4 linked regions of the Caenorhabditis elegans genome follow. The protein of the gene in region 1 purifies or fractionates together with the protein of each later gene. This does not show direct contact. Each region holds a gene or a part of one and is shown in the gene's direction. Other genes may lie near its edges. The genes, in order: ant-1.2, ymel-1, nol-56 and iars-1.

Region 1 (3,168 bases):
TGTCAAAAGTTTAAAAAGTACTATTAATCGTGATTCACCATGTACATACTACACTCCATCTTAGTGTATTCCATGTTATCAGTTCAAAACCGTCCAAAAATTGACCAACTTGTCCATCACCCAATACAACGTGGCAGCAGTTTCAGTACACTCCCCCTTGTGTCCTATTTACTATATATACGTTTTTCTGGTTTTCACTCATCTAAACCACTTTCTCCTGCTTTTTGTATTAATATTCCTTATTGCAATGCATTACATTTTTTATTTTTGTCATTAGAAACTATAAATTTAATAATACGAATCCAAAAGAATCATAGGCAATTTTCTAAAAGCAGAAATAAATCATCCAGAATTTCTTAATACTTATTCGTTTTTCATTTAATTCCCTTTATTATTATTCTGGTACTTCTTTATCAAAATTGTAAATTTCCAAATTTTCAGAATGTCTGCTGAACAATTTGTGGGTCGTTGGAAGCTTGTCGAATCCGAGAATTTCGAGGATTACCTGAAAGAAGTTGGGGTTGGTCTTCTTCTTCGTAAAGCCGCGTGTGCTGCAAAACCAACTTTAGAGATCAAAGTGAATGGAAACAAGTGGCATGTCAATCAACTTAGCACCTTCAAGAACACCACATTGGAGTTCACTCTGGGAGTGGTAAGTGAAATTTTGAAAAAAGGAAACGAGAATAGAACTCAACAACTATATGGCTTTTTCGTTAGTTATTTTCTTTCCCATTTAAAAACTTTCAAATGCCTTTCTCGAAACTCTAGCAAACACTGATAAGACTCAAACTAGTGGGTCAAAGTGCAGGAAGGTACACGTGGTTTTCAGTGTAAACAAAAAAATGAGAATAAAGAACAACTGAACTTTGTATCCATTTGAACACTACACACAACAAACGGGTGTTCTATTAACATAGATACACTTTGTGGCATGAAGAAATAATCTAATGTTTATGTCTTTCAGAATAGGTCTATGGAAAATTCAATTGCGAACTCTAAACGAACATTTGAAATCAAAAAAAGAATCATATTAAATCTAACAAAATATTTTTTTTTCGAATTAGTTACGATCTTTAAATGTGTCGGCTACATGAAAAACAACTCCCGGTTTTCATTCCATTAAAGTTCAGTTTTTAAATTGACTGTTATAATTTACCATTTAAAAAAATAGTGTTTTTTAGGAATTCGACGAGACAACACCAGACGGTCGTCAATTCAAGTCAACCATCACAATTGAAGATGGAAAAGTAGTTCATGTTCAAAAAAGGATTAAGGATTCAGATCATGATTCTGTAATCACTCGTTGGTTTGAAGGAGAAAAGCTCATCACAACTCTCCAATCTGGATCAGTTATCTCTCGTCGTGCCTATATTCGTGAATAGATTATTTTGAATATTGTTCTTGTTTTGTTCGGTCTTTGATGCAATAAATAGCGAAAAATAGTGTTTTTGTTTACGCAGAGTGACGTTTTAAAGGACCAGAAACCCTTTTCTTTTCTCTGTCTCTGTTAAAAAAGGCCTTGTTTATTTTCCGTAAAATTTTTCATTAGTTTCAACAATTTTTAAAGAAACACTTTTGTTTTAGATTTTTCTTTTTTTTTAAATTAATTTTATTCTTTATATTGATTAGACTTTCATGACCAAAATTTTGAGAAGAGTCTAGTGAGCTCCTTCCTACTCGCATTTGAAGAAAGTTTTATTATCAGCATTCAGGAAATATAATCTCTGAAAAAAAACATTCCAGAAGGACAAAATGACCACAAAGGAAGGATTTGATTATCGAAAGTTTCTTGTTGATCTCGCCTCCGGAGGCACTGCTGCAGCAATCTCAAAAACTGCCGTTGCTCCAATTGAACGTGTAAAGCTTCTACTTCAAGTCAGTGATGTCTCTGAAACAGTAACTGCCGATAAAAAATATAAAGGAATTATGGATGTTCTTGCTAGAGTGCCAAAAGAACAAGGATATGCAGCATTTTGGAGAGGAAACCTTGCAAATGTGCTTCGATATTTTCCAACGCAAGCGCTGAATTTTGCATTCAAAGACACTTATAAGAAGATGTTTCAAGAAGGAATTGACAAGAATAAAGAATTCTGGAAATTCTTTGCTGGAAATCTCGCTTCTGGTGGAGCAGCTGGTGCAACATCTCTATGCTTCGTGTACCCACTGGATTTTGTGCGTACTCGTCTTGGAGCCGATGTTGGAAAAGGAGTGGATAGAGAGTTTCAAGGTCTAACGGATTGTTTTGTGAAAATTGTGAAATCAGATGGACCAATTGGTCTTTATAGAGGATTTTTTGTTTCAGTACAAGGAATTATAATTTATCGTGCAGCATATTTCGGAATGTTTGATACTGCCAAAACATTGTACTCAACTGACGGGCAAAAACTCAATTTCTTTACGACATGGGCAATTGCTCAAGTTGGAACAGTTGGTTCTGGATATTTATCATATCCATGGGATACAGTACGTCGTCGAATGATGATGCAATCAGGGAGAAAGGATATTCTCTATAAAAACACTTTGGATTGTGTTAGAAAGATTGTGAAGAATGAAGGAATTACTGCATTATACAAAGGAGGTCTTTCAAATGTATTCCGAGCAACTGGAGGTGCTCTTGTGCTCACAATTTATGATGAGATTCAACATTTAATTTAATTACAGAATTAAAGTATGTATATGTTAATTTTGAAACAACATTGCCAATAAATTTTTTTGTTTAAAATGCATTTTTACTTTATTTTAAAAAAAAGAAGATTGTTTAAGTTTCACAATTTGAAAATGGGCTTCTATATATGTACAAGATACTAGTTTTTTACCTCAAAAAAAAATAAATTTAAAAAAAATTAAAACTTAGATATACTTTAATCAAAAACGATATTTTCCTCCTCAGAAATTTCAGAATTTTTTTGATAATATTTTTGTTTTTATTCGACTGAAAATTCCTCACTTTTCCTCTTTTCTATTTTTATTTTTCAAAAATGATGCAACGAATCAAAAAATGAATCATTCTTCAAAAAAAAACGAAACGAAAAATAGAGGAGACAGAAATAGAGAAAACGTTTTGAATCTCCGCCCACTCTTGCCCCCTATCATTCCATTTATCAGACCACCTAAATACGAATGATTTCCCAAGGCATTGCCATTCGTTTTCTTGTTGATTTGCAACTT
Region 2 (7,959 bases), on another chromosome or scaffold:
AAACTCTAAAAAAAATCGCCAAAAATTTTGCGGAATGTCTGAAAATCGATAATTAGAAAAAAATGAAGAAAAACTGATCAATTTTTATATTTTAGGACATCTTTATTGTGTAGTTTCGTGGGTTTTCTCAAAAAAGATTTTTAAACTTCTGAGATTATGGGAAATTTTGATGTTTTAAAGTTAAAAAATCACAAATAAATTCACATTTTTCAGAGAGAAACGGACAAACGAATAAGAAATCGTCAACCAGCTCAAAAATCGGCGGCCGCCACACCAGCACACAGCTCATCATTCGCAGTACCAAATGCCGGAGAAGTTGAAGACGACGAAGACGGCAATCAATATCCACCATTTGATATGAATCAATTTGAATTGGATGCTGCAGTTGTGTCAAGGCGTCGTTTTGCTTCTGTCGAGAAACCATTTGAGCAACGCGATTTTCTCAATAATCATCGAAAGAAATCCACCATCAATACCGAGTTAACCAGCAAATAGTGTCATTTTTCCCCATTTTTTCTTTTTTTTTTCTGAAGCAGCTTTTGAATTTGGAAATTTTGAAATTGAAAATTGTGAAATATTCCTAAAATTGCAAATTTTTCGACGAAAAAATATCAAGATTTTAGCATTTAATTTACAGTTTTTAAAGGGAAAACACGCCAAAAAAGTTCTCAAAAAATCTTGAATAATGCGCATTTTTTCCTCTAAAAATATACAAAATTCTGGATAAAATTACTGAAATCTCCATTTTTGACGTAAATTGAGATTTAATTTGGTAATTTCCAGTGTTTTTTAACGCCAAAAAATTCAGATTTCCTATGAAAAATCTAGAAACTTGTACATTTTTAGCAGGTTTTTCCCCCTGAAAAAAAATTTTTTTAATTCAAAAATTCTTGAAATGCCGAATTTTGATTTTTCTCGCGTTTTCCATGTCAAAATTCAAATTTATTTCTCATTTCGAAAGCTTCTTCATCTTCATTTTCTCCAGAATCCCATCCCATCCTAAACATGAATCTCTGTCACATCTCATTTCGCACTTTTTCGTTTTTTCCCCATTTTTTCCATTACGACGATCTCTCGTTTTTTAAAATTAATTTTTGTTTTTTTTTTGAGTGTAGCACTTTGCCTACATTACTGTAAAATTAGAAAATTTCATAGTTTTTTGCAGATTTTTTTTGGAAGAAAACTGGCAGTTTTTGGGAGAATTTTTGGATTTTTTCCAACCCAAAAATGTCTGAAATTTGGAACAAAAATTGAGAAAAAAAAACCTTTTTTTCTTAATTTTTCTCACTTTTTTGAGTCTCAAAATTAAGAAAAATTCAAATTCCCAACCCGAAAAATTGCACATTTTCCCCAAAATTCTTCTGCCACGTCACAAATATCATCACCCGGTCCCCGTAATTTCCCATAAAACAAGCCTCTAATTCATTTTCCCACCCAATTATCCGCTGTTGATTTGTTGTTCAATGTTTTTTTTTCGGTACCTCACTTATTTTATATATATATATTTAAATATTATCACAACTAGAACCTTTTCCTTCTCCTCTTCCTGCTGAGCCATCTCATTCTCAATTTGTAACGACTAAAAATTCCCAAATTTTTGTGCGCATTTTTTTTCATTATTATTATTATTACTACCATATTATTTCTCATCATTTGAAAGAAAAATGCCGGTTTTATTTAGCCAACAAAAATTGCATACAAACGAAGAAAAAAGGTCACCTGAAACCGAAATATTTTTGCCTGACACGAGGCGGCGGCGTCGCGGTTTGCATCATGGAAATTGCAAACGCGCTCCACTGGACTCTCGCTCCTGGCTAACTGAAGTTAGTCACTGCGCCTATCAGTAGTAACTATTTTTCTCTGAAATCTCGGAAAATCTTTTTCTATAGATATATAGAAATATAAATTTTTGTATTCTCTGAAAATTCCAGAAGAAAAAGCTTATGCAGTCGGCGATCAATTTGAACATTGGCGGTTTGCTCCAGAATACGGGACTGCTCAGAAATAGTCGAAATGGTTTGTTTTTAAAGTTTTTAAAAATAGAGGAGAAGATCGATTTTTAGGTGATCTGGAATTCTTTTTAATCCGGCTGAAAATATTTCATTTTTTGAAATTTATGATTTTCAAAATTTGGTAAAAAATTAGGCAAAAATGTAGTTTAAATTTAAAAAAATTGTTAACAATTCTGTTTCAATAATTATGTCGTACTTATTTTATTTTAAGAAAAATGTCGATTTTTACATGACATTGTACTTTTTGAAAAAAAAATTTCAACGGGATTTTGAGCTAAAAATGAAAAAAAAAACTATTTCTTGGTCTGAAAATGCTTAGATTTTGATGTTTTAGCTGGCAACATTTAGGTATTCAGTTTTCAACAATTTGTTTGAATCAGAAATTATTATTTAGCCGGGCGAAAAACAATCAATTTAAAATGAAATTAAAATTGTTCTTTATAAATTAAAAAGCTTGCAGAAAGCAATATACGCTTTTTTTTAATATTAAGACATTTAGTATGGTAATTAGAAAATAAAGTTTAAAAAATTAGCACAATATATTCAAAAACTACATATTACGGGAGCACAATATTCTGAGAATGCGTATCACACAACATATTCGACGCGCAAATAATATCGTGCGAAAACTACAGTAATTCTTTAAATGACTACTGTAGCGTTTGTGTCGATTTACGGGCTCGATTCTTAAAATCATTTTTTTTATCGATAGAATATTAAAATTAAGCAAAAAAATCGACACAAGCACTACAGTTTTCACTTGAAGAATTACTGTAGTTTTCGCTTCGAGATTTTTTACGTTGCCCAATACTCATTCTCAGAATTTTGTGTTCCTGTAATAATTTTCAAAAAATCCAAATTTCCAGGAATCAATAGGAAACCGTTGGATATTGAAGCAACAGCAGCATCACTTTCAAGAGTATATCATCAAGTTTGGAGACAATTCAGTTCTGATACTTCTTCACCTGTTACAATCAATCAAATGAATAATATTCTCAGAGATAGTACGCTTTCAAGGCGGATCGCTAGAAAATCTGAAATTTCGCTGAATTATGATGATGCTGTCGTTCGGATAATTCCGGCGAGCTCTTCGTTTTGTAAGTTTAAGCTGCGTGGAAATTTTGCTCCTTTTTGTAAAATAAGAAAAAATTCAGAAAAAAGTTTGAAACTTTAAAAAAATTGCAAAAAAACTTATTTTTTGATCTAAAATAGGTTTTTTTTAAAATTTTCACAATTTTTACAAAAAAGGAAAATTTTATCGAAAACTTGAATATTTTAAAACAATTTTTTATTAGTTAGATTTTTCATTATTTTAGGAAATTTTCATAGAATAATATAAAAATAATTGAAAAACAAAACAAAAATTTTCATTTTAAAAAACCAACTTCAAATCAATATTTATGTTAATTTTTTTGAAATAAAATTTTTTATTTATTTTAATTTCAAAAATATATAAAATATTGTTTGGAAGTAGGTTTTTTTCCAATTTTTTTTTATTTTATGAAAATTTATTACAAGCATTTTCTAAATATTTCCTAAAATTATTTTTAAAAAATCTACTTTTTTTCGTTAAAAATTGTTTTTAAAAATTTCCTTTTTCTGAATTTTTTCCACTAATTTTAATTAAAATTTATAGGAAATTTTACAAAAAAAACCTCTAGATACTGGTATTTTATTGGTATTTTTAAAATAAAAAATACGATAATTTTTTTTACATTTTTCAAAAAATTCCAATTGTCTCAGATATCCAACGCCGCGGATTTCGTACTCGAAAACAGACATTCGGAGTCGGAAATGCCGGAAAACCGACACAAGATGAAGTGAAATCTCCGTTAACCTATTTCTCAGAGCTTCTCGCTGGAAAAAAGCAAAAAACGTCAGAAGGAGGAGTTGAAAAATGGAATCAATATGAGTCGGATCTCAAGAAATTACCAGAAAATCAACAGAGAACATATACTGATGGATTTGTTAAGGGATTATTGTCAAATGGTGTTTCGGGAGCTGGAAAAGATGGGAAAAAATCGAATACGCTCACGCGGTTCTACATTTTTCTTGTTTTTTGCATCTTTTTCGGATATTTGACTGGAAGTGCGTTTTATTTCGAGAATTTATAGTGAAAAATTGAAAAAAAAATTTTTTTTTCCTTGAAACATTAAATTTTTAGACATTTTTTCTCCTGAATTTTAAAAATTTAAAATTAAAAAAAAAACACATTTCGCTTCAAAATTGTTGAATTTTGTTTAGAATTTCGAAAAAATTGCTGAAAACGTCCGAAATTTTTCAAAACTGCATATTTGAAAAGTTTTGGAAAAAAGTTTTTTTTTTAAATTTAGGAATTAAAAATTAAAAATACAATTTCCAGGTTTTGAAAATTCGTATTTATTTCTAAAATTAACTAAATATTCTATAATATTTAATTTTTAAAAATGTTTTATTTCAAGTCTAAAAATCGGTTTTTAAAAATTGTTTTGGAAATTTTGTAAAACTTTTCAAAAACTGCATATCTTGAACATTTTAGAAGAAAATTTTTTTTTTTTCAAAAAAAAATTAAAAAGTTTATGAATTGATCTCCTAAATAAAGGAATTCGTGTGCGTGTAGGCGATCGACAAATTGGTTCATTGTTCTTCTCGAATCCACAAGAAGTCAATCCAGAGGATGTTCAAGTTACTTTCGATGATGTTAGAGGAGTGAGTTTTTTGGAAAAATTTACCGAAATTTGCGATTTGTTTCATTTAAAAAACGACACGAAATCATTGAAAAAACCCTTAAATTTTTTTCTGAAATTCGAAAAATTGCAAAAATGTTTATTTTGCCGAATTTTTTGGAAAAAAAACCTTTAAAATTAAAAAAAAAATTTAAACTTTTTTTTTTTTGATTTTTTGACTTTTGAAAAAAAAAACTTTAAGATAATTGTATCAAACTTAAAGTGTTCTAAGAATTTTTTTCAATATTTTTTCAATTTCCAGATGGACGAAGCGAAATTGGAAGTGGAGGAGATCGTGGATTACCTGAAAGATCCAGAAAAATACTCAAGACTTGGTGGTCGATTACCGAAAGGTGTCCTACTCGTCGGACCCCCCGGAACCGGAAAAACGTTGCTCGCGAGAGCAATAGCCGGTGAAGCACAGGTTCCATTCTTCCATACTGCTGGATCAGAATTTGATGAAGTACTTGTTGGACAGGGAGCCCGTCGTGTTAGGGATCTTTTCGATAAGGCTAAGGCTCGGTGAGCAGGCTATTTTGGAGACATTTTACAAAATTTTTGTTTTTTTTAACCATTAGTTTTCTTAAATTGGCCAAAATTTAATGTTTATTTTAAAATTAAAATTCAATTTTGTTGCCCTCTCGGAATTATCGATTTGTATGATATTCGCTAAAACTTTGACAAAAAAAAATTTCGTAAAATTAAGTAAAAGCCCCGAAAAAAATCCAAGATTTATATTTTTCAGTGCTCCATGCATCATTTTCATCGACGAAATCGATTCAGTTGGCTCAAAACGTGTTTCGAATTCCATCCATCCATATGCAAATCAAACGATTAATCAACTTCTCAGGTAACAATTTGCTCAATTTTGTGCATTAAAAACTCATCTCCTGATGTTTTCAGTGAAATGGATGGCTTCACCCGTAACGAGGGAATCATTGTAATTGCCGCAACAAATCGTGTCGACGACCTCGACAAGGCCCTTCTCCGACCCGGACGCTTCGATGTTCGTGTCACAGTTCCAAAACCTGATCTCGCTGGGCGTGTGGACATTTTCAACTTTTATCTCTCAAAAATCGTGCATTCCGGTGGAATTGATCCTAAAGTTCTGGCGAAGGGATCGACAGGATTCACTGGAGCCGACATTGAGAATATGGTGAATCAGGCGGCATTGAAAGCGGCGACTGATAATGCTGTGGAGGTTACGATGGCCTATTTAGATGAAGCAAGGGATCGAGTACTGATGGGACCGGCACGTACTGGAGGAAGGATTCCTGATGAAGAAGCAAATAGAAATACAGCTTATCATGAAGCAGGTCATACTCTGGTGTCTTTGTACACAAAAGATGCTACACCTCTGCATAAAGTAACTATTATTCCACGTGGACAATCTCTCGGACACACTGCAATGCTTCCTGAAAAGGATAGTTATCAGTTGACTAAAGCACAAATGCTTGCTACGTTGGATGTGATGATGGGCGGTCGGGTGGCTGAAGAGCTCATCTTTGGAGATGATAAGGTCACCACTGGTGCTGCGGATGATTTGAGTAAGGCCACTCAGTTGGCGGTGCAGATGGTTAAGGTTTTTGGAATGAGTGATAAGGTGAGAAGGGGGCTTGGGAATACTTTTTTCTTAGGAAATATGAGCTTGGCGCAAAATTTTTTTTCGGAAAATTTGAATTTCCTGCCATAATTTTTTCAAAATATTCAAATTTCTCGCAATTTTTTTTCGCTAAAAATTGTTTCAGTGAATTTGAATATCTCTCCGAAAAAAAAAACAATTAAAATTTCCCGCAATTTTTTTTTTATTTTTGAAGCTGTCGCCAACAATTTTCTTTAAAAATTTGAATATCCCACCAGAAGTTTTTAAAAACTAAATTCTAATTTCCCGCTAAAAATTTTCTATATTTTAAATTTAAAATTCCAGGTCGGACTCCGTGATTTCACTGCCCAAGACAATGAAAGTGCACTGGTAAAAGTGTCGGATTTGGCACCACAAACAGCCGAACTAATTGATGCAGAGATTAATCGTGTACTACAGGAGAGCTATAAAAGGGCTAAAGTCATTTTGGAAACCAAGAAGGTTTTTTTTTTGGAATTTTCTAATTTTCCAGATTTTTTAAAACTAAAACAAAAATGTTGCTAAAAACTTGAAAAATACGACGTCAGCTTTTTTTGTTAAAAAATTAATTTAAAAAGATTCCTTCAAAAATTCTCAAAATTTCCGATTTTTTGCAGAAAGAGCATCAACTGCTCGCGGAAGCTCTTCTCGAATACGAAACTCTCTCAGCTGACGAGGTGAAACGTGTTATCAGTGGACAGAAAATCAAGCGACCAACACCGGCGGCAGTGAAGAAAAGTAATGAAACAAAACGAAATCAACCGTCGCTTGTTCTTCATTTATTCGAGGAAGAAGGCCGTGGAAAGCAATAATTTCTTCTTTTTTTTTCTTTAAATATTCTAAGTTCTGTACTTTTTCCTCCTTTTTCTGATTTTATTTCAGTTTAAGTTCGCTCGAAAATCTTAGAAAATCGAAGTTTTCGTGTAAATTGAGTGATTTTTTTCCTATTTTTCTTCCATCTTCTCGTCTACAGGTATTCATTCACCTATTTAGCATTCTTCTCTTTCCCCAATTTTTTCCCGTTTTTTCTCCGGTTTTCTCGATTTTGTACCAATTTTCCTTGTAGGTTCTCAACTCTCTTCTCATAGTCCCCTGAGAATTTTGTGTCTCGATCGCTGTGAGACCACAAAATTTCCGGTTTCATCCTCTCTTTCTCCTCTGTGGTTGTAGCTTTCTAGATGTACGGATCTGTTGAATATAAATGTGTTTTTGGATTCTAGAAAACAATTTGAAAAAAAGAAAATTAATTTATTGGCACTTCTCATTCAGAAGTCTCAAAAACATTTCACAAATTGAGCTGTTCTCCGAGATGACGTGGCACCGAGTGACGTCATCACTGCTCTCCGTGAACAAAAAGAGCCCATCAAAATTGTCGGCGCCGACAAAAAGACGCCACGTGTCGAAATCGTTAGCCGAAAAATGAGGGAATTCTCGGCGAAATGTGGCAAAATCCGGAACAATTGGCACAGGAAAACGGTGGAGCACAGTGAGCAGTGATTGGATAATTCGAGTGGATTCTGGAATAGAGAAAATGTGGGTTAGAAGGGGGCGAAGTCGACGACCACTTTCTGGGCGGAACCTAAAGCTAATATTTCTACAATTAAAAATTGTTTTTAAATGT
Region 3 (4,631 bases), on another chromosome or scaffold:
TACAATCGGAAAGGAAAAGTTATCAAGGGAAAGGAAAAAGTAGCAATTAGCTCTCGCTTCAAAGAAGATATATATCCCCAAAATCATACATCAGTGTTCGGAAGTTTCTGGAGAGAGGGTCGGTGGGGATATAAGTGCTGTCATCAATTCGTCAAGAACTCATATTGTACGGGAAAGCAGGGAATTGAAGCTGAAACGAGCGCAGCAAAAGGTACAACGACCTCAAACGAAGAAATTTTCAAAGTTCCGAAGTTAGTAGAGAAGACTGAAGTTAAAGAAGAAAAAGAGAAGGAAGATTCCATCAAGGATGAAGTAGCAGAAGAAAACAGTGATAATGATAATGACGAAGAAAAGGAAAAAGTATCAGAGAAGTCCATATCACCATCACCACCAAGTGACGATGAAGAAAAAGAAAAAGAACGCGAGAAGGAAAGGTTAATTGAAAAAGAACGAAGAGAACGGGACCAGCGGCGTCGTGATAAAAAACGTGAAAAGCGTGAACGCAAGAAGGCAAAGCTGGGGAAAAGAAAGAGGCGTCATCGCGATTCGGACGATGAAAGCGATCCTTCGTCGGGAAGTGGTTCAGAATCTGATTCTGATGAAGAAATGCGTAAAGCTATGAAGAAGGCGAAACGGGAAAAGGCCGAAGGAATGAAAGCTGCAAGAGAGGTAAGATTACCAATACTAATTTTATCCGGGTCGCTTAGTACTATTATATTCCTTGAAAATTCAAAATATAAAATACTTTGTTCAGGGTGATCGCGGCCGTAAATACAACACTGACTACTCCAACACTGCACCGAACGAAAAAGAAATGGAGGCTTATCGTGTGACAAGTGTTCATTCTGCTGATCCGATGGCAGCCTACATGAATTCCAAATTTGAGAAGAAACACACCAAGTAATTATTTGAAGTCGTCTCCGTAGTTTTTTCTCTTTATTGTTGTTTGTTGAAACATTTGTATTCAGTCTATTCAATAAATTATTCAATTCATGATCACCATTATTTTTTTAATTCCGATTTTACAAAATGCCCTTATTCAATAATTCATTTTCGAACGTCTGCGCCCAACTTCGTGTTAAATAATTTTTAAATACGTGCTTCAGTATATTCGTTCATTCAAAAACCTCCACGTCATGTTTTCTTGATCTGGATTTATTTACATTCTGAAAATAAATTCTAAGCACATCGATTCTGGTGAACGGCTAGAAAAATTTCGATTTTTCCCGATAATATTTCGTTCGTCTTTTTTCATTTCTATAGAAATTTCTAATAAAACGTTTTACTGGCGTAATTTTCTCCACTGCCATTATTTTGTCCGAGTGGAGTTCACGAGTAGTAAAGGCACACACTCTTTTGCGAATAGGTCTCGCAGCGAAAGAGGTACGCCGTCGTCTTTTTGATTCGTCCTTATTTTTTCTCCGGCCTATTTTTGATACTTATCGATCCAATTTCGGTTTTTATTTATTTATTTATTACTGGAATGATAAGGAAAGATGTATTTATAAACAATTACATTAATGTTCTATCAATTCTTCTTTACTTAAAGTCTCACAGTTTTTGCACCCTTTTTGGTTTTCTTGAATAAATGATTTTTCAGGTTCTTACACCATGTCGGAAGTTCCCCACTTCGTGCTCTATGAGCATGCAGCTGGATACGCTCTCATGAAGATTAAGGAGTTTGATGATGCTGGTCTTATCCTCCAAGAGGTACGTTCGCTCGAAAAAAGTATTTTTAAAATATCCTCGCTTATAAGCCGGGGGACTAGCCTTTGCTGAGTTCACTAGTAAAACGCGAGGAAAATTATAGAGACATCCAGACACCGATTATGTTGTGATATATTCGGTCACTTCGTATGTCCCACAGTTTAGTGCTTAAATTAACGCATTTTCAGGTCGATGCCGCTCATGCTGATGGATACAAGTTCTCGCAAATCGTTGAGCTTGCTTCGTTTGATCCGTTCAAAAACACCGAAGCTGCATTGGAAAACTGCAACTCCATCTCTGAAGGTAACAAAGACCGATAAGTTTTGATGGGGAGTAATTATTTTAATTATTAGGTCTCGCCCACCCTGATCTCACTAATTTTCTTCAAAAGTCGCTTCCAAAAAAGAAAAAACACGTTGTGCTTGGAATCAATGACTCGAAGCTTGCGGGTTCGCTTACTGAAGCGTTCCCAGATCTGAAGCTTGTCTTCGGAGGTGTTATCACCGAGGTAACGTGAAGATTCACAATAAACTCTTTGGAGTTTACCTGAATCTGTTACCGATGACGAAAACACATATTTTGAGTTTAGATTCTGCGTGGTACTCGTGTTCATTTCGAGCGTTTGGCCAAAAATCTCCCACATCACTCCTTATCGAAAGCTCAGCTTTCTCTCGGTCATAGTTACTCTCGTTCGAAGGTGCGTACCTCGATCGCGCTTTTTTCTCTAAATGTTTTTTGATAGGTCAAATTCGATGTGCATCGTGTGGACAACATGGTTATTCAATCGATTGCCCTTCTCGATCAGTTGGACAAGGATATCAATCTTTTTGGAATGAGAATCCGTGAATGGTACTCTTACCATTATCCAGAGCTCTTCCGTCTGGCTCCAGATCAATACAAGTACTCTCGCCTTGCTGTCGCTATCTTGGACAGAAACAAGATGGCTGAAAATGAGAACCTCGAGAATGAGATTCTTGGTAAGTATTATAGTTCAAAATGTAGATTTTGGGTAACCTCTCTTATAAGCCGGGGGACTAGCATTTTGTTAAGTTCACTAGTAAAATGAGAGGTAAAGCATAGAGACAACCAGACACCGAGAATGTTTTGATGTTTTCGGTCACTTTGTGTGTCCCACAAATATTCTTTCCTTTTTCAGAAATTCTTGACAATGATTCCGAGAAAACCGCTCAGATCATCGAAGCGGCCAGAACATCAATGGGAATGGATATTTCCGATCTCGATCTTGAGAACATCAAGAGATTCGCCGCTCGTGTCTCTTCTCTCATGGAGTATAGACAACAACTTCACGAGTACATTAAAGATCGTATGGACCACTGTGCTCCTTCTCTCAGTGCTCTTATCGGAGAACAAGTTGGTGCTCGCTTGATCTCGCATGCTGGTTCGCTGACCAACTTGGCCAAGTATCCAGCGTCCACTGTCCAAATCCTCGGAGCAGAGAAGGCTCTTTTCCGTGCCTTGAAGACCAGATGTAAGTCATGAAAAATGTATCATTAATTGATGGCATGTATTTAATGCGGGTGGATGATTTTAGTTCAGCCGTTTAGCTTGCATGCAAAATTATTTTCTATTGAAGATTTTATTCGCTGCACTCGGTCATATTCGAGTCTATGATTTTTCTGAAATTGGTACATTTTCAGCCAACACTCCAAAGTATGGACTTCTCTTCCACTCCAGCTTCATTGGAAAAGCTGGAACCAAGAACAAGGGTCGTGTGTCCAGATATCTTGCTAACAAGTGCTCCATTGCTGCTCGTGTGGATTGCTTCTCCGAGACTCCAGTTTCGACATATGGAGAATTCCTTCGCCAACAGGTTGAGGATAGACTTGAGTATTTCACCTCCGGAACTGTTCCAAAGAAAAACATTGACGTCATGAAGGAGGCCGAGGAAGCTGCCGTTGAGGTTAAGGAGAAGGTACAGTTTTGCGCAAATTTCCTATTTAGCATGTATTTAATGCGGGCAAATTGTTTTAATTCGGCCGTTTAGCTTGCATGCGATATAATTATCCATTGAAGAATTTTTAGCTGGGTTTCTCTCATTTTAAACTCATGATCTATCTTTTAAGGAAACAATCAATTAAAAATTGTATTTCAGGTCATCAAAAAGAAGAAGAAGGCTGCCAAGAAAGCCAAGCGTCTTGCTGAAGAGTCTGTCACTGCAACTGCTGAAGCTGAGGTTGACGAGGATGCTCCAAAGCCAAAGAAGAAGAAGAAGAGCAAGGCTGGAGACGAGTAATCTTCATCATCACTACACCACTGATCTTTTTTGTTTTATGAATGTAACTCCCCCATGTTGAACTATTTTGTTTTTGTTGACTGTTGGACCCCTACATCTTGTTGTTACTCTGTTTTCTTCTTAATGAATAAACTTGTATAATCCAGCGTAAATGTTTTAGAATTGACTTCACATATAAACTTCAGTGCGAGTAATGTTCGAAAGTGCTCTGTTCACTACACTACGCGAAGCCGTGTATTAAGAATGAGAGGGCGGCGTCAAAATCTCGAGAAGGGCGGGGCCAAGAGAGCAAGACTGGAGCTTAGAAAATGCACAACACGTCAGTTGAGACTCAGTCAGTCTCATAATAGGTCGGGAAAACAACCCTTTTCGTTCTTTTAGAGAGTAAATAATAATTTCATTAGTCGCCTTTATTGATACTGTCTTATTTTCAGATCTGTTTTCAAAATAATTATTAATTTCCAGTATTCTCTTTCTTTGGTCTTCCTACACAAAATGAATTGCCGGCTTTTTGTCATTTTCGTCTCAATTCTCGTTACGGTTTTTGCACAGGTACAGGTTTTATTCATTAAAAAAAGAATGGAGAAGAACTTTAATTATAAAAAGCTAAACTTATTTTAACTTTGTTTTTGCAAAAAAGCTCAGAATATAGTACTACTTTTGAAGAAAA
Region 4 (6,629 bases), on another chromosome or scaffold:
AGAAATAAGATGGATGAACCAATTGTCCACCCATTCTCTCCATTCCCGCTCTTCTCTGGCAGAAGCCATATTTGCGTCCCCGTCTACTTTTCCCTTCATAACGAAGAATTTGTTAGGGTAGTTGAGAACCTGAATCAGCAAGGATGTTTTAAAATTGCAGAGTAATTCAAAAACCCACTGGCTTTCCTTTCTCGTTTGTTGAATCAACTGCTGGATACATTTGTATTATCTGGTCGAGTGACTGATCGGGTCTTTGAAGATATGTTGCCAATGTGGAAATAATCAAAGTAGACTCGGTCATAGTTGTCTCGCCACTCCTGAGAATTGGAACCTGAAAGAAAATAGATAAAACAACCGGAAATGTGAATGAAAACTTACTTTTTTATAAGTTGTGCTAAACTTGATCTGTGATCTAGTGACTGGATTTACTTCTACAACCTCATAGGAGAATCCGTGATAATCTAAGAAGGCTCGAACCTGTATTTTTGATTAATAGTTTTCATACTTCACACAAGAGTAACGCACCTTGCAACAGAACGGGCAAGTCTCGTATTGATACAATCGGAGCTTCAAGTTTGACTTATCCAGGTGATTAATAACTTTTCGACTGAGGAGGACATCATTCTGCACTTTCTCGGGTTGCTGAACTTGAATTGGGCATGTTCTGAGTTTTGCTGTTTGGATATCGTCCAGCTTTGATCCTCCCCACGAGAATCCAGCCAAAGAAGCAATCTGGACTGTCCGTACACCAAAAAAACGCATCTGAAAACTAAAAAATGAATTTTCAGTTCATTAAAAGAAAACGGGCGGAAAAACACAACGGATCGGTTACATTCATACAAATTTCACTGAAAAAACGCAAGAAATGCGCTTTTTCTCGCGAGAAACCGTTTTCCACTACGGGGAATATCAAATTTAAATCAGCTTCATATTAACTTTCACTTTATTTGTCTGAAAACGGACTGTAATTCATAAAAAAAAATTTTCGGCGAATTAAAAAGACGGGAAATCGTGGCGAGACCCTGCTGAATAAATGCATGCGCCTTTAAAAAATTGTTTTATTTGGAGTTCCCATTTTCCAGTTTTCTTCTTATTTTGATCGGTTTTTCATGCAATTCCGATGTTTTTTGTCATTTAAGTTTGTTGAAAATAACAACTAAATAACATTTCATTTAACTCAAGTACTTATCTGACTGCTTTAGAAGAGGTTCCCATGTTTTTGGTAGTATTTCATTTGTATACATCTCTTTCTACACTGGAATAGTTTATCTCACGCTACTGATGGTGTCAATTTAATGTTTTCTTACTAACTAGATGAAAACTTGGTAAAATTACTCGAAGATGTGCCTTCTAGATACGAAACTATGCCTTAAATTGTCCTTGATAACGTTTCCGTTAACACCACCAATTATTCAAATAAATATATCATATTTTAGTATGACGAATATTTAAAAAATTACTACTTCCATCAAAATTTCGCAATACGCAATAAAGAATGTTGCATCAGATTTCATGTGATTGCGTTGTTATTTATGTTAGTCGCCTAGTGTCTAACTTTCGCATATTTAAAATTTACAGGGTAAAAAATGAGCGGCCTTTCGACCGTTCCCGACAACATCAATTTTGCCAGAGAAGAAGATAAAGTCGCTCAAAAATGGCAAGATGAGAATACTTTCCAACGTTCTGTTGAGTTAGTTTTTTTTTAAATATTCTGGAATTGTTCACATTGAAAAAAAAAACGTTATCTTCAGGCTGTCAAAAGATCGTCCACATTTCACTTTTTATGATGGACCACCTTTCGCTACTGGCCTTCCTCATTATGGTCATATGCTTACCAGCACCATCAAAGACGTTGTTGGTCGCTGGGCTCATCAAAACGGTCACTATGTAGAAAGACGGTTTGGTTGGGATACTCATGGTCTTCCAGTCGAATACGAAATCGATAAGACGCTTGGAATCAGTGGTCCACAAGATGTCATGAAAATGGGAATCGCTAATTACAACAATGAATGCCGAAAGATCGTTATGAGATATTCTGGCGAATGGGAGAAAACAATGGGACGTCTTGGTCGCTGGGTAGACTTCAAGCATGATTACAAGACTCTCTACCCGTGGTTCATGGAGTCTGTATGGTGGGCTTTCAGCGAGTTGCATAAGAAGGGCCTTGTCTACAAAGGTGTAAAAGTTATGCCTTTCTCTACTGCTTGTTCTACTCCACTCTCCAACTTTGAAGCTGGTCAGAATTACAAAGATGTAGTAGATCCAGCAGTATTCGTCGGATTCAAATTACTCGATTGTCCGAATAGGCAGCTAGTTGCATGGACAACAACTCCATGGACACTTCCATCCAATCTAGCTCTAGTTGTTCATCCAGACATGCTGTATGTGGTCACTAAAGATAAAACGACTGGAATCGAATACGTTGTTCTGGAAGAACGTCTCGGAGAGTTGAAAAATGATAATTTGGAAGTTATTGAGAAACTTGCTGGTAGTCAGCTCAAAGATCTCAGGTATGAACCATTGTTCCCATACTTTGCCTATATGCGCGAAGAAAGAAACGCATTCCGGGTATTGAATGACACTTTTGTCACCTCTGACTCTGGTACCGGAGTTGTTCATCAAGCACCATATTTCGGAGAGGTAAGATTCCTTTTTTTCTTTTCTTTTTTTATATAAAAAATACTTTCCAGATCGATTTCCAAGTTTGTGTGGCGAATGGAGTTATCGCTAAAGACCAAAAAATGATCTGTCCAGTTGATGAAAGTGGAAAATACACATCAGAAGTTCCAGATTATCAAGGAGTCTACGTGAAAGATGCTGATAAGTTGATTATCAAGAGACTCAAGGAAATGGGAAATCTTGTCAGACAAGCGGAAGTGAAGCACTCCTATCCATTCTGTTGGCGGTCTGACACTCCACTTCTCTATAAGGCTGTTCCATCCTGGTTCATCAACGTCGAAACCCTGATTCCAAGGCTTCTGGCTAACAATGATGAGACATACTGGGTTCCCGCTTTTGTCAAGGAAAAGAGATTTGCTAACTGGCTTAGAGATGCTCGCGATTGGGCTGTATCGAGAAATCGGTTCTGGGGAACTCCAATCAATTTGTGGGTGAGCGAAGATGGAGAGGAAGTTGTATGTGTTGGAAGTATTGCTGAATTAGAAGAGCTTTCAGGACAAAAAATCACTGATCTTCATAGAGAAAGGTTTGTTAAAAAACATGTTACTATTCATAAAATACGATGACTTTATAAATTAACAGTGCAAATTTCCAGCGTTGATGATGTTACGATCCCATCTCGTTCAGGACGGGGAGTTCTCAAGAGGGTTTCCGAAGTTTTTGATTGTTGGTTTGAATCAGGATCCATGCCATATGCCCAGAATCATTATCCATTTGAGAACCGCAAAATCTTCGAAGACAATTTCCCAGCTGATTTCATCGCTGAAGGAATTGACCAAACCCGTGGGTGGTTTTACACACTTCTAGTTCTGTCAACTGCTTTGTTCAACAAGCCACCATTCAAGGTTCGTACAATTTCAATATTTTAATTTAAATCAAAAATGTTTTCCAGAACCTGATCTGTAACGGACTCGTATTGGCGTCGGATGGAGCAAAAATGTCAAAGAGTAAGAAGAACTATCCCGATCCAATGCTCATTGTTAACAAGTACGGAGCCGATGCTTTGCGTCTTTATCTCATCAACTCTCCTGTGGTTAGAGGAGAAAATTTGAGATTCAGAGAAGAAGGCGTAAGAGATCTTCTCAAGGATGTGTTCCTTCCATGGTTTAATGCCTACAGATTCTTTGTACAAAACGTACAAGCATATGAACATGTAAGTTTATTCATGTTGAAACAATTATGAGATTGAAATATTATCGTTTTTAGGAAACTGGAAATGTGTTTGACATGAACGTTCATGTTGCCAGTGAAAATGTCATGGATCGGTGGATTGAATCCTTTACAAACAGTCTTGTTGCGTTTGTTCGGAAAGAAATGGATAGTTATCGGCTTTATGCTGTTGTTGGACCGCTTACAAAATTCTTTGACACTCTTACAAATATCTACATCAGATTAAATAGAAAGAGAGTCAAGGGAGACAACGGACTTCATGAGCAACATCACGCTTTGGCAGCCCTCGGACGAGTTCTCATTTTGATTGTTAGATTGATGGCTCCTTTCACACCATTCTTCTGCGAGTATATCTGGCTAAATTTGAAGAAAGTCATTGGTTCGACTGAGGAATCAGTTCACTTCCTGATGCTCCCAAAACCGGATGAGAGTCTAATCGACGAGACTGTGGAAAGACGAGTTGAAGTTATGAGAAATGTTATCGACTTGGTTCGTCTTGTTCGCGATCGTGAAGGACTTGCTGTGAAATATCCATTGAAGGAAATGATTGTTATTAACAGAGACAGTCAGTTTTTGGAAGACGTAAAAAGTTTGGAATCATATATTCTTCTTGAGTTGAACGTCAGAAAATTGACCGTTTCACAAGATAAACAGAAATACGGAATCACCCTAAAGGTATTAAAATTTCAAAAAGTTTGTTCAAAATATAATACTTAAAATTACAGGCAGAGCCAAACTTCAAAATTCTGGGTGCTCGTCTCAAGGGAGAACAAAAGAAGGTTGCTGACTACTTGAAGAACCAAATCACTGAATCTGAGTTGGAGAAATTCCTTCTTGAAGGAAAATTGACTGTGCTTGGGCATGAGCTCTCCTCGGAAGAAGTTGCTGTTAGCTACGCGGCTGGAAGTGATCAAGGACATGGATACAAAACTCACTCGGATGCAAAGACCATTGTAATGATTGATACAACTGAAGATGAGTCTCTTATTGAAGAAGGACTCTGCAGAGAAGTGACAAATCGTGTTCAACGTCTTCGCAAACAGGCTAAACTTGTATCTACTGATACTGCTCATGTTCATATTGTTGTTAGTCCAGCTGATTCTCAACTCGCAAAGGTTGTTGCTGCCAAATTGAATGACATTGTATCCGCTACTGGAACACCTATCAAGTTGGGATCACCACCAGCCGCTGCAAAGGCTCCAACTGCCACCAGCAAGAGTGCAATTAAGGATTCAGAAGTTGAGGTAAATTCCGTTTTTGTTGATGTTCTCTAATATTCCTGAACAATTATTTTCAGCTTTGGTTGTTCGCCGAAGGTGACAGTTTCGATGGGATCACTGTTGTTGATGGATCAAAGAAAGTTCGAGTTCATGTGAAAACAGAAAAAGAACACCTGAAGGGATATGCTGATCTTCTATATCACGTATGTTTATCGGGTTTTCCTAGAAATTTAAAATGTTAAATCTGTTTTTGTTTCAGGTTCGCTCTGCTCTTGATCTCTGGAACGGTAAGATTGCCTTGAAGAATGTCGATGGATCGGCGGTCCATCCAACAGTTGACGTGACGTCTCTTGTTGGTCAGACTCTTCAACTCGTACGATAAATTGCTATTACATCTTTAAATTATCCATATCCGGTTCGCATTTTAGTTCCTGGCTTTATTTGAACCCATTTGAACCGCAGTTTTTCTCATATTTGTTTCTTACACTATTTTGTTTGCTGTTAACGTATAATATTTAATTATGAATGTTTAAGGATTTTAATGTAGAAACTTTATTATCAGAGAAATTCAGCTAGCATTTTTACACGCTCTCAGTTTAGCAGGATCAATGTCACTAACGATCTGATGTTCTGTACGTCCCTCTTTCAATTTGATGTTTTTCTTCTTATCTCCTTTCTTCGGTTGTTGTGGTAGATATCCTTTCCCCAATTTTCTGAACTCCTCTACCGCCTTATCAGCAATTGCCACAACATCATCTGCCAAATCAATGTGATCTCTGAGAATATCTCGAATTGGTGCTTCAATAAGAAGCGTAAAGTGTCCAGAAGAAGCGATGCTGCTCGCAATACAATAACGGAGCATGCTCTTCGAGCAAATTGCCTGAGAATTACACTCCCGAATGACATCTCCAGATTTCAGATGGATGGATGCTAAGCTGTTTGGAGTAACATAATCAACCTGAAAATGAAATGCGGTGGTTACTGTAAGTTTAAATTACCTCCAAACGATCTCTATTGTTATATTTGACAAATAATCCCAAGTCAATGAATTGCATTTCAGGAGTTGGACGAACTTTTATGAGAACCTAAAATAAGAAAGTTTTTTTTTTAATTTTTAAAAAGCTGTCTCACAAAGTAATGGTTAACAGGATTTGGAGTGATTCTCTCTAAATCTCTGTCAATTTGGATTTTCTCAACAGTTGTTCGAATATGAAAACACCAGGAAAACATGTTACGTTTCAGTTGTAGATGAATATTCTGAAATTTTCGTTTGCAAACACTCGATTCAGAAATATTAACACCTCAGTTTTCTCTTTCAACTTTTGGTGCAACTCGTCACTAGTGTGGATAACTTTTTCATCGATTGCAGTGATACAATCACCTAGAAATGCTTTTCCAATAAGATGTGATTCAGGAAGGACATGTGTGATCTGAATATGAATTATGTATGGTGTCCCAAAATCAAGATCAAGAGCTCAAGAATTTGAATAAATACTATTTGACAATTACCCGACAATCCTGCTTGTGTACACGAACTCCTATTGGCTTTCGAATCATGAA

What was found.
Region 2: the proteins of ant-1.2 (region 1) and ymel-1 fractionate together in Caenorhabditis elegans (co-fractionation; one large-scale study listed by BioGRID). This does not show direct contact.
Region 3: the proteins of ant-1.2 (region 1) and nol-56 fractionate together in Caenorhabditis elegans (co-fractionation; one large-scale study listed by BioGRID). This does not show direct contact.
Region 4: the proteins of ant-1.2 (region 1) and iars-1 fractionate together in Caenorhabditis elegans (co-fractionation; one large-scale study listed by BioGRID). This does not show direct contact.

Annotation. Positions count from the first base shown.
Region 1 is NC_003279.8:6,729,544-6,732,711, reverse strand, and holds ant-1.2 (ADP/ATP translocase), read left to right. Parts: upstream 1-1,752; coding exon 1,753-2,655; downstream 2,656-3,168. Other genes in the region: lbp-5 (Fatty acid-binding protein homolog 5), read left to right, coding at 443-652, 1,182-1,382.
Region 2 is NC_003281.10:10,414,208-10,422,166, forward strand, and holds ymel-1 (ATP-dependent zinc metalloprotease YME1 homolog), read left to right. Parts: upstream 1-1,931; 5' UTR 1,932-1,943; coding exon 1,944-2,016; intron 2,017-2,878; coding exon 2,879-3,109; intron 3,110-3,755; coding exon 3,756-4,100; intron 4,101-4,593; coding exon 4,594-4,700; intron 4,701-4,979; coding exon 4,980-5,239; intron 5,240-5,462; coding exon 5,463-5,567; intron 5,568-5,620; coding exon 5,621-6,320; intron 6,321-6,644; coding exon 6,645-6,800; intron 6,801-6,955; coding exon 6,956-7,150; 3' UTR 7,151-7,552; downstream 7,553-7,959. Other genes in the region: M03C11.3 (PH domain-containing protein), read left to right, coding at 214-495; M03C11.6 (BBS2_C domain-containing protein), read right to left, coding at 7,587-7,855. UniProt on the Caenorhabditis elegans protein: ATP-dependent metalloprotease that catalyzes the degradation of folded and unfolded proteins with a suitable degron sequence in the mitochondrial intermembrane region. Plays an important role in regulating mitochondrial morphology and function.
Region 3 is NC_003283.11:10,349,948-10,354,578, reverse strand, and holds nol-56 (Nucleolar protein 56), read left to right. Parts: upstream 1-1,600; 5' UTR 1,601-1,611; coding exon 1,612-1,710; intron 1,711-1,742; exon of another isoform or gene 1,743-1,869; intron 1,870-1,895; coding exon 1,896-2,010; intron 2,011-2,060; coding exon 2,061-2,215; intron 2,216-2,296; coding exon 2,297-2,404; intron 2,405-2,449; coding exon 2,450-2,684; intron 2,685-2,716; exon of another isoform or gene 2,717-2,846; intron 2,847-2,863; coding exon 2,864-3,196; intron 3,197-3,225; exon of another isoform or gene 3,226-3,361; intron 3,362-3,365; coding exon 3,366-3,640; intron 3,641-3,666; exon of another isoform or gene 3,667-3,799; intron 3,800-3,820; coding exon 3,821-3,961; 3' UTR 3,962-4,108; downstream 4,109-4,631. Other genes in the region: sluh-7 (Pre-mRNA-splicing factor SLU7), read left to right, coding at 1-669, 755-904; nssp-62 (Neuropeptide-Like Protein), read left to right, coding at 4,457-4,513. UniProt on the Caenorhabditis elegans protein: Required for 60S ribosomal subunit synthesis.
Region 4 is NC_003282.8:10,367,029-10,373,657, forward strand, and holds iars-1 (Isoleucine--tRNA ligase, cytoplasmic), read left to right. Parts: upstream 1-1,578; 5' UTR 1,579-1,586; coding exon 1,587-1,690; intron 1,691-1,751; coding exon 1,752-2,640; intron 2,641-2,690; coding exon 2,691-3,205; intron 3,206-3,274; coding exon 3,275-3,524; intron 3,525-3,571; coding exon 3,572-3,832; intron 3,833-3,885; coding exon 3,886-4,524; intron 4,525-4,574; coding exon 4,575-5,093; intron 5,094-5,146; coding exon 5,147-5,272; intron 5,273-5,328; coding exon 5,329-5,451; 3' UTR 5,452-5,609; exon of another isoform or gene 5,610-5,637; coding exon of another isoform or gene 5,638-6,027; intron 6,028-6,067; downstream 6,068-6,629. Other genes in the region: pges-2 (Prostaglandin E synthase 2), read right to left, coding at 1-129, 179-331, 379-477, 526-762; mpz-5 (PDZ domain-containing protein), read right to left, coding at 5,638-6,027, 6,068-6,154, 6,201-6,326, 6,371-6,499, 6,579-6,629.